Drosophila melanogaster: one gene and its partner. The protein of the gene in region 2 interacts with the protein of the main gene of each other region in a pairwise test. Each region holds a gene or a part of one and is shown on either strand. Other genes may lie near its edges.

The links.
Region 1: the proteins of CG3534 (region 2) and Nep4 interact in a two-hybrid assay, tested with the Drosophila melanogaster proteins (one study listed by BioGRID).

What each region holds. Positions count from the first base shown.
Region 1 is NT_033777.3:20,652,067-20,659,093, forward strand, and holds Nep4 (neprilysin 4), read right to left. Parts: upstream 4,777-7,027; 5' UTR 4,574-4,776; coding exon 2,786-4,573; intron 2,670-2,785; coding exon 1,661-2,669; intron 1,499-1,660; coding exon 1,173-1,498; 3' UTR 1,085-1,172; intron 719-1,084; 3' UTR 501-718; downstream 1-500. Other genes in the region: GluRIID (glutamate receptor IID), read right to left, coding at 1-31, 114-222. UniProt on the Drosophila melanogaster protein: Metalloendoprotease which cleaves peptides at the amino side of hydrophobic residues - such as the hormones Akh and Dh31, and the neuropeptides Allatostatins (AST1, AST2, AST3 and AST4), Crz, Drosulfakinins (DSK-I and DSK-II), Lk, sNPF and the tachykinin peptides TK-1, TK-2, TK-4 and TK-5.
Region 2 is NT_033777.3:16,994,502-17,000,202, reverse strand, and holds CG3534 (uncharacterized protein), read right to left. Parts: upstream 3,758-5,701; 5' UTR 3,615-3,757; coding exon 3,555-3,614; intron 3,151-3,554; coding exon 3,029-3,150; intron 2,739-3,028; coding exon 1,911-2,738; intron 1,853-1,910; coding exon 1,631-1,852; intron 1,417-1,630; coding exon 1,227-1,416; intron 1,168-1,226; coding exon 931-1,167; 3' UTR 754-930; downstream 1-753. Other genes in the region: Sf3a1 (splicing factor 3a subunit 1), read left to right, coding at 1-92, 149-321, 383-553, 611-712; EMC2A (ER membrane protein complex subunit 2A), read left to right, coding at 4,244-4,277, 4,390-4,798, 4,925-5,081, 5,144-5,392.

The DNA of each region.
Region 1 (7,027 bases), 3.7 Mb from region 2:
ATTCTATCGGTGGCGTCGTCGGTGATGAGGCCTATATATATATGAATTTTTTTTGAGTCAAAACGAAAATCGGGAGAACAATCTGCTTAAGCTCTTTCATATGTTTCACTCACCCAGGCGAATGGATTGACCACTAGATGCTTCGTATGCATTACCCCCATAAAACTGTGCCTGCACTCTGCTCAGGCTGAGAATAATCAGAGATATCCAACAGAAATGCATCGCCTTCAATTATTGAAGTTTGGTTTGGGAGTTTTTCATTTCCGTCCTCTGGTATTCGAGTATCTAACAATGGGTATATCTAAATATATACGTATATTTTTGGATCACCCACTAGCGCGATGTCTTTGATGTTCCTTAGTCGCCGAGCGCACGTTTCCAACTGAATGGCCACTCATAATTGCTTTAAAAATTCCACTCAAAAGTTTTCCAAAATATTCTTTTTGAACTTGAAAGCTTCCAGTGTTGAACAATCACCATTAAATTAAAAGTCACCATTTGTTGATAATATAAATACATTTAATTAGAATTATCACAAACATAAATTGCATCATAAACTAAACTATTGCAAGTTACAAGTATAAATAGTTAAGGGCTAAGAAAAATATATAGATTGCAAGTTAATTTTTGGCACATAATCTTTGTTGTGATGGGGGAGCCATAAACCCAAGGCGAATCTTCGGCAATGACCAGATGGGTGTTCCGTCCGTTGTGATCCCTGTAATGGAGGGGAAAATCTTAGCGGAGCGTATTAATAGCTGTATATATAGAGTAGTGGTACTCCAACCCCATTGGCATTCCAAGTGACTTCCATCAATTGTAGTTTGATTGGAAAGACAATCGGAGAAGTTGTTCCCCGGCAAGAAACTGAGCCAACTGCTGGGCATAAATCACCATTAATTAAGTGCATGCGCCCCAATTGAAGTGTGATGCCGTTGTTGGCACAACAGTTAGGGGCAAATGGGTAACGAGCCACAAGGAAGCTGCGCCGCCAGACACTACCACTTTCTCCGTTAAGTGGCGCCCAAAGTGGAGCGCAATTAGAGCCCCGACATGGAGGTTCCACTACCACCCGGGTACTCACCAAATGACATGCCTTCGGTCTTTGGTCTAGGAATGTGTGGCATATGTCATGCTTAATACTCTTAGGCTATTGATTTGGTTCCCTCCGACTACCAAACGCTGCACTTTTTCTGAGGGTTCATCGGTGAGCCGAGGGGACAATTGAACTCCCGCGCAAAGTCAACGGAGTTCGAGAGCGTCCCAATCACCCGGAAACGACCTGGACTGTGGATGGCCGTGTTCAGCTTGTTCCGGATGGCCTCCGGTCGCATCGCTCCGCACCAAACCTGACCGAAGTTCAGGAAGAACAGCTGCGGCCCTGTCATGTTAAGTCCTGGCAGGATCTCGTCCGACACCTCGCTGGGATGCTCCTTTAGCCAGCGCTGATACGCGTGGAAGGCCTGCCGGAGGCCTCCATTGTCTGCGATATTCTCACCTGAGATAAATCGTTAGAAATTATTAATACACAATATATGATTGTGACTTGGAATGACTAAACCATTCACAATGATTGTGATTAACTCTACAATCAATCGATCATATTTTTGGACCATATTCGTTTGGTCAACAGCACCATATTTGAATCAAATCGACTTACCCTGCGTACTCTCTCCATTCAGGACGATTCCCACCTCCTCGACGGTATAGTTGCTATATTGGGCAATAATGCAGCGGGCGCGCTCGTCGAACCCGCGAATCGAGGAGTCCGTCCACCACTTATGTATATTGCCGTTGCGATCGAAGAGCCTACCCTTGTCATCGAAACCGTGGGTCAGTTCGTGGCCAATGACCACACCGATGCCGCCGAAGTTCAGCGACTTCGGAAAGTGGCGGTGGTAGAAGGGCGGCTGCAGGATGCCGGCGGGAAACATGATCTGGTTCTTGTTGCGGCTATAATAGGCATTGACGATGGCAGGAGCTGTCTGCCAGTTGGTCTTGTTGACCCTCTCGTGGAGCTTGGCCTGCTCCGTTTTGGCCGTGTGAAGCAGAACATTCAGAGTGTTCTCAAAATACTTTTCCGGATAGATTTCTATGCCCGCGTACTTGCTATTTAACTCACTGGGATTAAGGATAAAGTCTGGATAGCCGATCTTCAGGGACATGGCGTTAACCTTTTCCTCGGCCAACTGCTTTGTGGTGTCGTCCAGCCAATCAGTGGTTTTCAGGATATCCCGAAAGGCCTGCTGCAGATCGTGAGTCATCCGCAAGGTGTCCCGCTTGCTGTTGTTGTCGAAATAGCGACTCACGAACATGGAACCCACTGCCATGCCCATGTTGGTGTTCACCTGGGCGATGCATACCTTCCATCTCTGCGGACTCTCCTCGCGGCCAAAGAGGGCGTGGTAGAAACTCTGTTTGATGTCATCGAATCGATCGTCCACGTTGTTGATCCTGTGCCGCACAAAGCGCCACATCATGTAATTGGAAACCGTTCGGGGATCCGTTTCATCTAGAAGAGTCACCAGCTTGCTCATGTACTCCACCGCGTAGATGACCACTTCCTCGGTGCCCAGAACTTCGCGATCTTGCAGACTCTGCAGGTAAGCTCGCCACTTGATTTCCGGAACCACCGCCTGCAGTTGGTCCAGCGTCATGCGCTTGTAGAGCTGCGTGAAATATGAAGACGTATTAAAACGTTTTAGATATTCTATAGAAATATGTTTCGAAGCAAAATATATTAAGTACTAGTAAGAATAATTTAAAAGTCTTAGAAGCCACTCACCTTGGTGACGTTAAGTCGTTGCTCCGCTGGAGCTGTAATCCCCGCCAGCTGCGTTTCGAACGCCACCAGCTCGCTGGCCACCCGCTGGGCATCCGCCTTGGAGGCGCCCATTTTGTGCATCACCTCGGCCATGTAGCGCTGGTAGGCCTGTAGGTACTTGGCGTTGCTCGGCTGGAGGAAGTACTCCCTGGTGGGCAGGCCCAGACCCGTCTGGTCAAACTGAACAATGTTCTCCTCGGAGTTCTTGATGTCCGCCCCCACCCACTGGACGATGAGGATGTCGTTGTTGTAACGTCTAAGGGTGGCGGCTAGCACCTGCCAGTTAAAGTTGGACTCACTCCATTGGGACTCCAGGACTGGCCAGCCACCTAGTTCCCGAATGAGCGTGTGCAGCGGTTCCAATCCCCGCTTGGCCAGCACCGCGCTGTTCACGCAGGACCGGTACAGATTCTTTGCTTTTAGCTGGGCATCTTGATGGGGCTTTAGGAAATCGGTGGGCACATGTAGTTGCTCTTCGTTATCCGACTTGTCCTTGGTTTTATCCTTTGGCAGGACAACTGGTGGAGCAGCTTCCTCCTCTTTGGTTCTCTCCCGTGGGGTTTCGATGAGGCGTTTCCTTTTCGTTCCGTTGGTATACCGCTTGTAGCGCACCAGAACGCGGTTAAGCAACTGCCTCTTACTGACAATGTGCCGACGCAGGCGTTCCGCCGTAAGTTCCGCCGCCTGGTCAGCTTCGCCCTCACCCTCGCCCTGCTCATTAAGCTTAAATAGAGTATTCCGCACGGGACTTTTTCGTAGCTCCGCTGCGGAGTGCACAGGGGTATTTTTCTCCAGAAGATTTCGTAGCACCAGGTCCAGACTCTCACGCAGCATTTCGAAGGTATCGAAGCCGGCCTTATCCTTGGGTATTGGATGCAGGCGCTCCCAGTTGCCGCAGGCGTACTTGTAGAAATCCACGCAGGGATCCACTTTGTTATCCATGTAGCGCTTCATGGTTTTGGCCTGGGTCATGCGAATGCCCTCCCGAGTGCCTTCCTCGTTCCAGAAACTCTGCAGAGCGGCGGTGGCCTCGCTGATCTCGGCACTGGCCTCCTCTGCATGACGTTCGGCCTCGCGGCGCTCCCGTATTCTGATCTTCTCCAGCCAATACGGAGCTATGTCCTGGTAGCGCTTCTTCTGCCTCTGGTAGGCCTCCTCATCTATGGGTTTAATGTCCAGTTCAATGCCGCTGCCGAGGCACTCTCGCGGAATGCCCAGTGGCAGGAAGGAGGTTCGGGAGTCCTTCATCAGCGTGTTGCGCTCCTCCAACTCCATGGACTCCCCGTTCCCGTAGCGATATGGTTGGCAGCGACGCGCCCTCTCCGCGGCCAAAATCTGCAGTTGGGTCCGCTTGCTCGCCGGCAGTATGAACTCCTCGTTGATCAGGTCGTTGTAGGTACTACCCTCCGGTAAAAGGGCTTCGTAATCCTCCATATAGACAGGCACCTCGCTGTGAGAGTTCCGCAGATCCCTCATCCTCTGTTCGTTCAATTGCAGCGCCGCCAGCATCCCGTCCAGCCGCATGATCAGGATGAGCACCAGGGTCAGTGGCAGCATTACCACTGGAAGAAGTAGAAGCATTTTGCAGCAGGTCAGACCGGGACACCACTGCACACGACCTGTCCGCTGATTAACACCCAGTCCGAGCTTCACGCTCCGGGCTTTGGCGTTCATCGGCGAGCCAGGAGCGGTGGCTGGAGCTCCGTGAACCGAGGGCATCGCTAGCTTCAGTTGGCTGTGGCGACTCATCCCACGAGCAGCCGTAATTGAGGAGCTCGCTGGCCTGTATACTTTAATTAAACGCAATTTTTCGCGAAACGCAGTTTGCCGAGCCGCACTGGACGTAACCCAAGCCGAGAATGCCGAGCTGCAGATCGGATGCCGCAGGCTAGAAGCTGGAAGCTGGAGACCGAAGACTACTGCGGCCGAGTCGCGCTCGCATCGCCAACTGAAAGCGCCGCGCGGAGATGCGCAATCACGGCGCGCGACAAACAATTGAGCGGCGACAGCAGCCACCAGCAACCAGCGACATCAGCAGCAGCAGCCGTCGCAGCAGCAGCAGCAACATCAGTCGGCGCAGCAGCGACTATCAACTGGCAACATGCAATCAATGGATCTCCAGCCGGAGGAGGAGAATCGGGGGATGCTGCTGGGGGTGATCTTGATTTCAAAAACTACTTATGCCGATCTAAGGACAGGAAATATCCGGATTTCCGCAACAGATAACTGCAATGATTTGACCCCTTAACCTCAATCGCTTCATTAATTCGCCTTTATATCTCAGTTAATCAACAGGAACGACTACAAAGCAGATCGTTCAAATATTTGTGTCATTATCACTGGACTAGCAATAACAAACGCGCATCTATAGCAATTTATACACAGAAAATAAAGCAAGTTGAACTTTCATATCGATATTTGAAATCTAAGATATTTATAAAACTAAACATGTTTTCGTTGATATAAAAGATTTAAAAAAAAGTGCACAAATGATGTTAATAATATCAAATATCAAATAATATATCAAATCATTTTTATATCTCTATGTAAATATTACATATTAGCTAATAAAGTTGTCATCACTATGTGGAAGAATAGTACGAGTTTCAAAATACACCTTTAAATTTTCTAATAGTTCAACGTGAGCTAATCAACTAAAGATAGTCAACAGCTTCCATTAGTCAATTTAACAACCACCTCATATTTTCTTCGTGTGCACAGCTGCCACCCAAGCACCTCCGCATTGACCTCTGCCCGAAGAGCGTCTAAATTCAATCAATTTAATTTAATTTCACAAAATAATTGACCAGTCCGCCGACGGACAGCTGGCCACGGGTAACGTACTCAAGTGGACGCGGTGGATCGGAACTAAGCTTTCGACTGGCAAAGAACCCCAGATATTGTAGATACTACAAATGGTACGGATACAGATGCGTTTAAAGGCTGTCAACAGCGCCCATAACTCGGCACTTAAGCCTGACCATTCAAGTGTAATAGAGATGGCGTCATTGGGCGCCACTAACTACTCGAGTCACACGTGTTTTTGGGGAATGTAATCCCCATCGGGGCGTCATCTAGTGTGCCACTATTTAAAGGGAATTAAAGCTCTGCGAGGCGTAACCGTAAGCCAAATTGGCCCTTCAGAGTGCGGAGGGTTCGGCGGGTTAGTATTACAAGATTATGCGGGTAATTGGTGGCATGCGATGCCATCTAATGTGCCTAAAACAACACCCCTCCGCCCGCCGGCCACCTTACTTTGCATACGTATGTGTATGGAGTCGTATGCCCATTTTGGTCGGCGGATCGCTAGGGGTGTGGAAATCCAGAAGGTATGGCTTTTGTTCACGTCATGTATTTCAGTCTCATGAACACCAAGCACGCAGGTGTATCTATGTAAGATGAGTGCGAGTGTGTGCGGTTGCGGGTGCTGGTGTATCTGTATCTGTATCTGTATCTGTGCTTATGCTGCCGGGGGAAATGGCGATTGCTTCATATGCTAATTTTAGCCTTAAACCTTTTAATTAGCGACTATGACCGAGATTAGTCGACTCGTCGTCCATTCGTCTATCTCATATGCAGCAGAATGCCGCAGTGCAATCTGCAACATGTGTATAACAACATGTGGCCTTTCGCAAGGAAAGGGGGAGGTGGGTAAATGGAAATGGAAATGGAAATGGAAATGGCCTGCAGCCCCCACTGCAAATGTTATGCAATTTGCCAACGCTCGGATGGATTCTAATTTCAATTGGCTTTTGTGTTCACTTGATCTGCGGTTCAAGACCAACCCGTCGACGCATGACCCACTGAGCCAACATGCGACGCTGCGGCACACAAACACACATTCGATTGCGGCATCAGGTTTGCGAGAGGTAAACGAACGAGTCGTGAATCAATCAATTGATGAAAATAAATATGCCCGGGGATCGAGTGTACTACGCATATAGACTACGGATTGCATTTGGATGCGGTGGGGGATCCGAGGGGGTAATGACTATTGAACTCGGGTTATCGACACCGCCAGATTAATTAACTCAACTAACTTAATCATTTTAGACGGCAATCCAAAAGGGGAGAACGGGCTGGACGTCATTCATTTTCTGGCTTTGTTTTGAATAAATGCACTCACTGGCGTACGCATAATTTTATTCAAGTGTATTTTTTTGTAACTTTATAATTAGATATTATGCTAGAGAAGCCAACTGT
Region 2 (5,701 bases):
GCAGGCGCCACCTCACCAGTCGCACCACCATCACCCGCCGCAGCAGCCTCAACCGGTGATGCAGCTGATGCAACTGCGTCCAACCATGATGCGTAAGTAACAAATAGTATGCAAATCTCGTCGAGGGCTTAGCGTTTTTATTTTGCAGAGCCGCCTTTTGGAGCTGGTGGTGGAGGCTACATGAACATGCAGCCTGGTGGAATCCCTCAGCAAATTGCACCTGCTCCACCTGTTGATATAATGGAGGAGGAGCCGCCTTCTAAAAAGATTCGAAGCGAGGACAACCTGATTCCAGAAGCAGACTTTATTGCCACCCACAAGGTAAGTTTGATTTTGATATCTGGCTATCTATTGGTATATAACCCATCTTAAATTATTTCAGAGCCCTGTGACCATTCAGGTTTTGGTACCCAATTCCGACAAATCAGAGTGGAAGCTTAATGGACAGATGATAGCCGTGACCATGGCACTTTCTGAACCCATTGCCAATCTGAAGACGAAGCTGCAGGACGAAACTGGCATGCCACCGGCCAAGCAGAAGATATTTTATGAGGTAAGAAATACAACTAATGTTTCGAAAACTATTATTTCAATAACATCTATCCTTCAGGGAATGTTCTTCAAAGACAGCAATACCATGGCTTTTTACAATCTGGTAAACGGAACCACGGTGCATTTACAGGTCAAGGAGCGTGGTGGACGCAAAAAGTAGGCGGATCAAAGATTAAAGGCATACCAGACACAATAAGGAGTGGGCCATATATAAAAATTTATTTGTATATGGTTTCGCATAAATTTGTAATAAATCGTCAATCACAGAATTTGTTAATTGCACTTAAGTTCTGTCAATTACAGGAGACGTTTAAGAAGGAATCAGTTTGTGAATGTACGGAGTATAAACTGGAATGTTACGTTGGGCTTTCGGAGAGTTTATGTGTTAGGATTGGACAGGACGCGCGCCATTTCGCGATATCGTTGTAGCATTGGAGCGTAGATTTCCTCGCTGTCCTTGTGTGGTTCGCATACAAGGCTCAGTTTGTTACTTGTCAGACTTAGGATATAATCTCGGTAACAGAGAGGCGTCACCCCATCACCTGCCTCTTGAAGGTACAGAGCGTAGGCGGATCGATAAGCGGCTCCCAGTAGGGCAGCCTCAAATCCTTCATCCTGCAAGAAACATGTTGCTTAAATTGCTTGCACTTGAGAAACAGTTGGTATGAACTAACCTGGATATGGACGGGAGCATTGAACACATCGGCAATTGTTTGCAGGATTGATTTGTTAACAGATGCGCCTCCTGTGACAAGGATTTGTGTCTCGGGTCCGAATTTGTAGCCAAGGTCTTCAGCCACAGCCCGGTGATGCAGCATCTGACCTTCAACTAGGGCTCGAATTTCGATTTGGGGCGAGCTGAATCTATAAAGCGAAAGAGGTCAGGAATATTTTATACATTTTAAAGAATTCAGTAGAAGGGAAATAGGCATTAAGAAAAAGTATAAACGACAAAAAACATGATCATGTTGGTAAAAAGTCATTTCTAAAAATAACTATTTACAGATGTCTGTTAACTGATTATGAGTCATTGCTTTCATGTCGGACCTAAAACAGCTAAATTTTCAATCAGACTTACTTGATTACACCCCTAGCCGCGTCCGGGGAACTGGGATCCATTTCCCTGTTCCATCGCAGAATACCCTGCGCCTTGGGAATGATTTCCATGTCGTTAAAGTGCACGGCCATGTTCCCAAAGTTTCCACGGGGCGTGGAGTCGAGATACTCATTGAATTTATCCCAATCGCCGCCGGTTGTCTTCTTGTTCATTTCCTCACGGACCAATGAAGCATTTCTAAAACTGAAAAAGACATTTAAATAAACTAATTTTAAGATATAATGTCCCAGGAATAATTTACCATAGAAGGCCCATGAATTCTTCCGTTTCAGTTGGATGGCAGAGTATATGACCCTCCTCCCAGTTTAGCGGCTCCTTCAAGCTCATCATTAGGGTGTCACTTGTGCCCATGGAAATGGTAAGCCAGCTGCTGCCCACCAACATTCCAGACAGCGCCGAAGGATTGTCCCCCGTGCTAGCAGCCACTTTGCAATCGGGCGAAAAACTAAAGCGCTCCACAAAGTACGGAGAGACGTTGCCTAAAATCGAATTTGGACTGACCGGAATGTCCAGGCGCTTGTCCAAATCGGGTGCACAAACATTTAGGCATTCTTTGGACCAGTTCTTCTTGCGGATGTCCAGCAGATTCATGCCGGAACCATCACTGAAGTCAATTGGAGCGACGGAGCCCAGAAATAGCGATGATATAAAACTGCTGACCAATGAGATTCGGTTGGCCTCTTCGTAGGCGTGGCAGCGTTGCTGATATATCTTTCTAATTTGGGGACCCGTAAAACGTTCGTAGCACTTCGAGCCCGTCAGTTCCACCATGTTAAGTTTGCCACCAACAGCCATCTCCATCTCTAGGCACTGTTTGGTGGTGGTGGCGTCCATCCAAATCGGAGTACGATTTACCACAAAGGCGGAGTCGTCGATTTGTGCGTGAAGGAACTTCTCGGAATCGAGGTTTTGCAGCGTGTTGATTCCATGTTTGGACCAGTAGAGCGATCCGTGCTGCTGTCCGGAGCCACTGATGGCAGCTACGGTGCTAAGATCCGCTTGCTGCATAACCAGTCGGTCCAGGACAATGTCCATGGCCTTCACCCACATCACTGGTTGTACAAAGTATCTAAAGAAGAACAAGTAAAGGTGGAGTCAGGTTAGCACATATATATTTTATAGTACCCATTGTATATATGGTCCCTGTTATAGGAAGGTTAAAAAAAACTTGAAGTGATAGAGACCCATTGTGGTGTAATAAAACAACTGCTATGAAATAGGGCCCTAAGTATTATCGGACAAATACCCCACAGCGCAAGATATAAAAACGTAAAATATATCCCCCTATTTGCTTTACGCAAACAATCATCCCATTAAAATCTTCAATTGGAGTAATGGATAGTGGTGAAACAGACTCACTCATTTTTGATGGATCCAGCGTTGGCTCCACCGGTGGTCCGGAACTCCGGCAAGTCGGTGTCGAATTTCACTTCAGCCGCGGCAACCACCTCCAAACTGGAGCCCAGCAGGACGGCTTTGAGCTGAGAGGAGTAAATGGGGCAGCAATTAGCGATATGGAGACACACCTCGAAAATAACGATCAAACATAGAGGGCAACTAGGAGTCACCGCCAGCGTCATTCAGGGATTGTGAAAGTTATTGCGGCTCTATTAAGATAATGTCGGGGGCCAATACCTCCGAACATGAATTTCAATAATCAAACCATAATAGTTAAATCGGTTGGCGCTCGCGTCTTTAGCAGATAAGCGAAAATCGAGCCCCGGTCACCGCAACTGATAAGAGTAGTTCGTGTTTCAAGTTCCCGAGTACCGTTTGACCTTTTCCAGTAACACCATTCGCACGCAATTGGCCCAGATGTAGTCGATTTGGAGACGCCTCCACATCTCAGATGCAAAGATACTACGTAGGCAGTTCCAGTTCTCACCTTTTGCGTGCTCAAGTCGAAGCCAAGAAAGGTTCGTTTCAGCTGCTTTGGCGGACCCATGTTCAAACTGCTTCCGGATCTGTTGGGAGTTGGGGAAATTAAACACAGCACCGCATGCGGCACTGCCCGATTCCACGGCTTTAATACCCGGAGAGCACGAGAGACTTGGCTTTTGTTGACGGTACCACAATTATTTGATTTGTTAGTGTGACCGTCGCTGGAAGAAAAACTATCATGTTTCATGTTTTCGTTGGCGCGCTTTTCAAATGTGCACTTGACTTAGAAATCTGTTAAAATGGATAAGCAATGCACAAAGTTTGGACAAAATAAGATTAATGCATGGTAAAATAATTCATTAAAGAATCCTTTTCAAGGACCTACAAGTATTTCAGAAGTATTAACAGTTTAATTAACTTTGCAAATATCGGAAACAAGGTATATGTAGAAAAACTTAACTTTAGAAGTCTCTTTATAATAAAAAGTTTTAAAAAATTACCTCTGACTTCATTTCTAGACTTTACGATATTCAAAAAGCAGGTTGGCAGCGCCACGCTAGTGTTATTTGGTATAATCTAACGGCTCATTACGCTGCCACACTTTTATTTTGCCAAGAAGGAAATCGCTAGTTAATGATTACAATTGGGAAATTAAATTAAATTGATGAGATATTTAAGTCCGCCTAAGTGAATATGTCGCTAGATTATGAGAAGATGAGCTGGTCGGGTAAGTTTTCGGCTTTTCCCGGCTCCAGACAGGTGCAGACCACGTCAGTGGGTTGCTCCCAATTGCCATGAATGAAAAGTGCCGTATCATAAGCGTATGATCATCCTTTCAGATGTACGGGATCAGTTCAGAACGTGGCGCGAGGAGACGGGTCGCCACAGCGAGGAGGTGGTCCAGCTGTGGGTTGCTGTGCTAGAGGACAAGGTGCACAAGACCGGCAACGAGCGGCATCTCATCCTGGAGCAGGTGATCATCGCGGCATTGGATACGGCTCGCTTTGACATCGCCACCAAGTGTACCAAGCAGCTGTCCCTCGAGTTCCCGGGCAGCCTGCGCGTGATGAAGTTCAAAGCGATGCGCTACGAGGCCCTGGAGCAGTACGATGAGGCCGACGAGGTCCTGGATGCAATCATTGCTAAGGACGAGACAAATGCCGCGCCCAGGAAGCGCAAGATTGCCATCCTTAAGGCCCGTGGTCGTCGCCTGGAGGCCATCAAGGAGCTCAACGAGTATCTGAAGAAGTAAGAAAGCTAAGTTCATGGTGTTTTTGGAAGAACGGAACCAAATTAGTTTCCGGCATCCGGTTGCTAGACAACTACTTATCTTACCATGTACGATAATCTCATAACTATTTAATATTCCTTCAGGTTTATGTCTGACCAGGAGGCATGGCATGAGCTGTGCAACATGTATCTGGCTGAAGGCGAGTTTGGCAAAGCTGCCTTCTGCATGGAGGAGGTTTTGCTGCACAATCCGCATAGCCATCTAATACACCAGCGTTTGGCAGAAATACGATACACAATGGTGAGCTATATAAGCCCACTAACCAGTAATGAAGTCCATCTTATGAATTAATTTTCTTTCAGGGTGGCGTCGAGAATATGGAATCGGCTCGCACTTACTATTCGCAGGCCCTGAAGCTTAATCCGCATAACTTGAGGGCCCTTTATGGCATTTACTTGTGCTGCAACCATTTGGACAACTCTCGTGCTGTGAGCTCCAAACGGAAGGAGCTGCAAAAGTTGAGTCAATGGGCCCTCGAACAACTTTTGACTAAACAAACGATTGTACCCTTGGAGGCTGCCTTTGGAAACCTGGAAATTAAATCGAATTGACCAATATAAGCACTAATAATTTGTGCAATAGATGCCAGAATGTAATGGTTCCAAATATTCTCAGAAGTGGGTTTCCAGTTTCTGTTCTTTAAGCAGGTTACATAGATAAACAATTAAAGAAATAGGAGTAAAAACAATTTTATAGTCAGTGCATCCAAGCAACTGTTTTTGGTGGTCTAGTATTGTTGACGGCATTGAAACCGGATAATTTAAAACATTTATTATTGAGGTAGGCAAAAATAGTCCTGTAATAAATTTAGATTAAACGCAATGAACTGCTTTGAATCATACTTTTAATCTTTGGCCTCA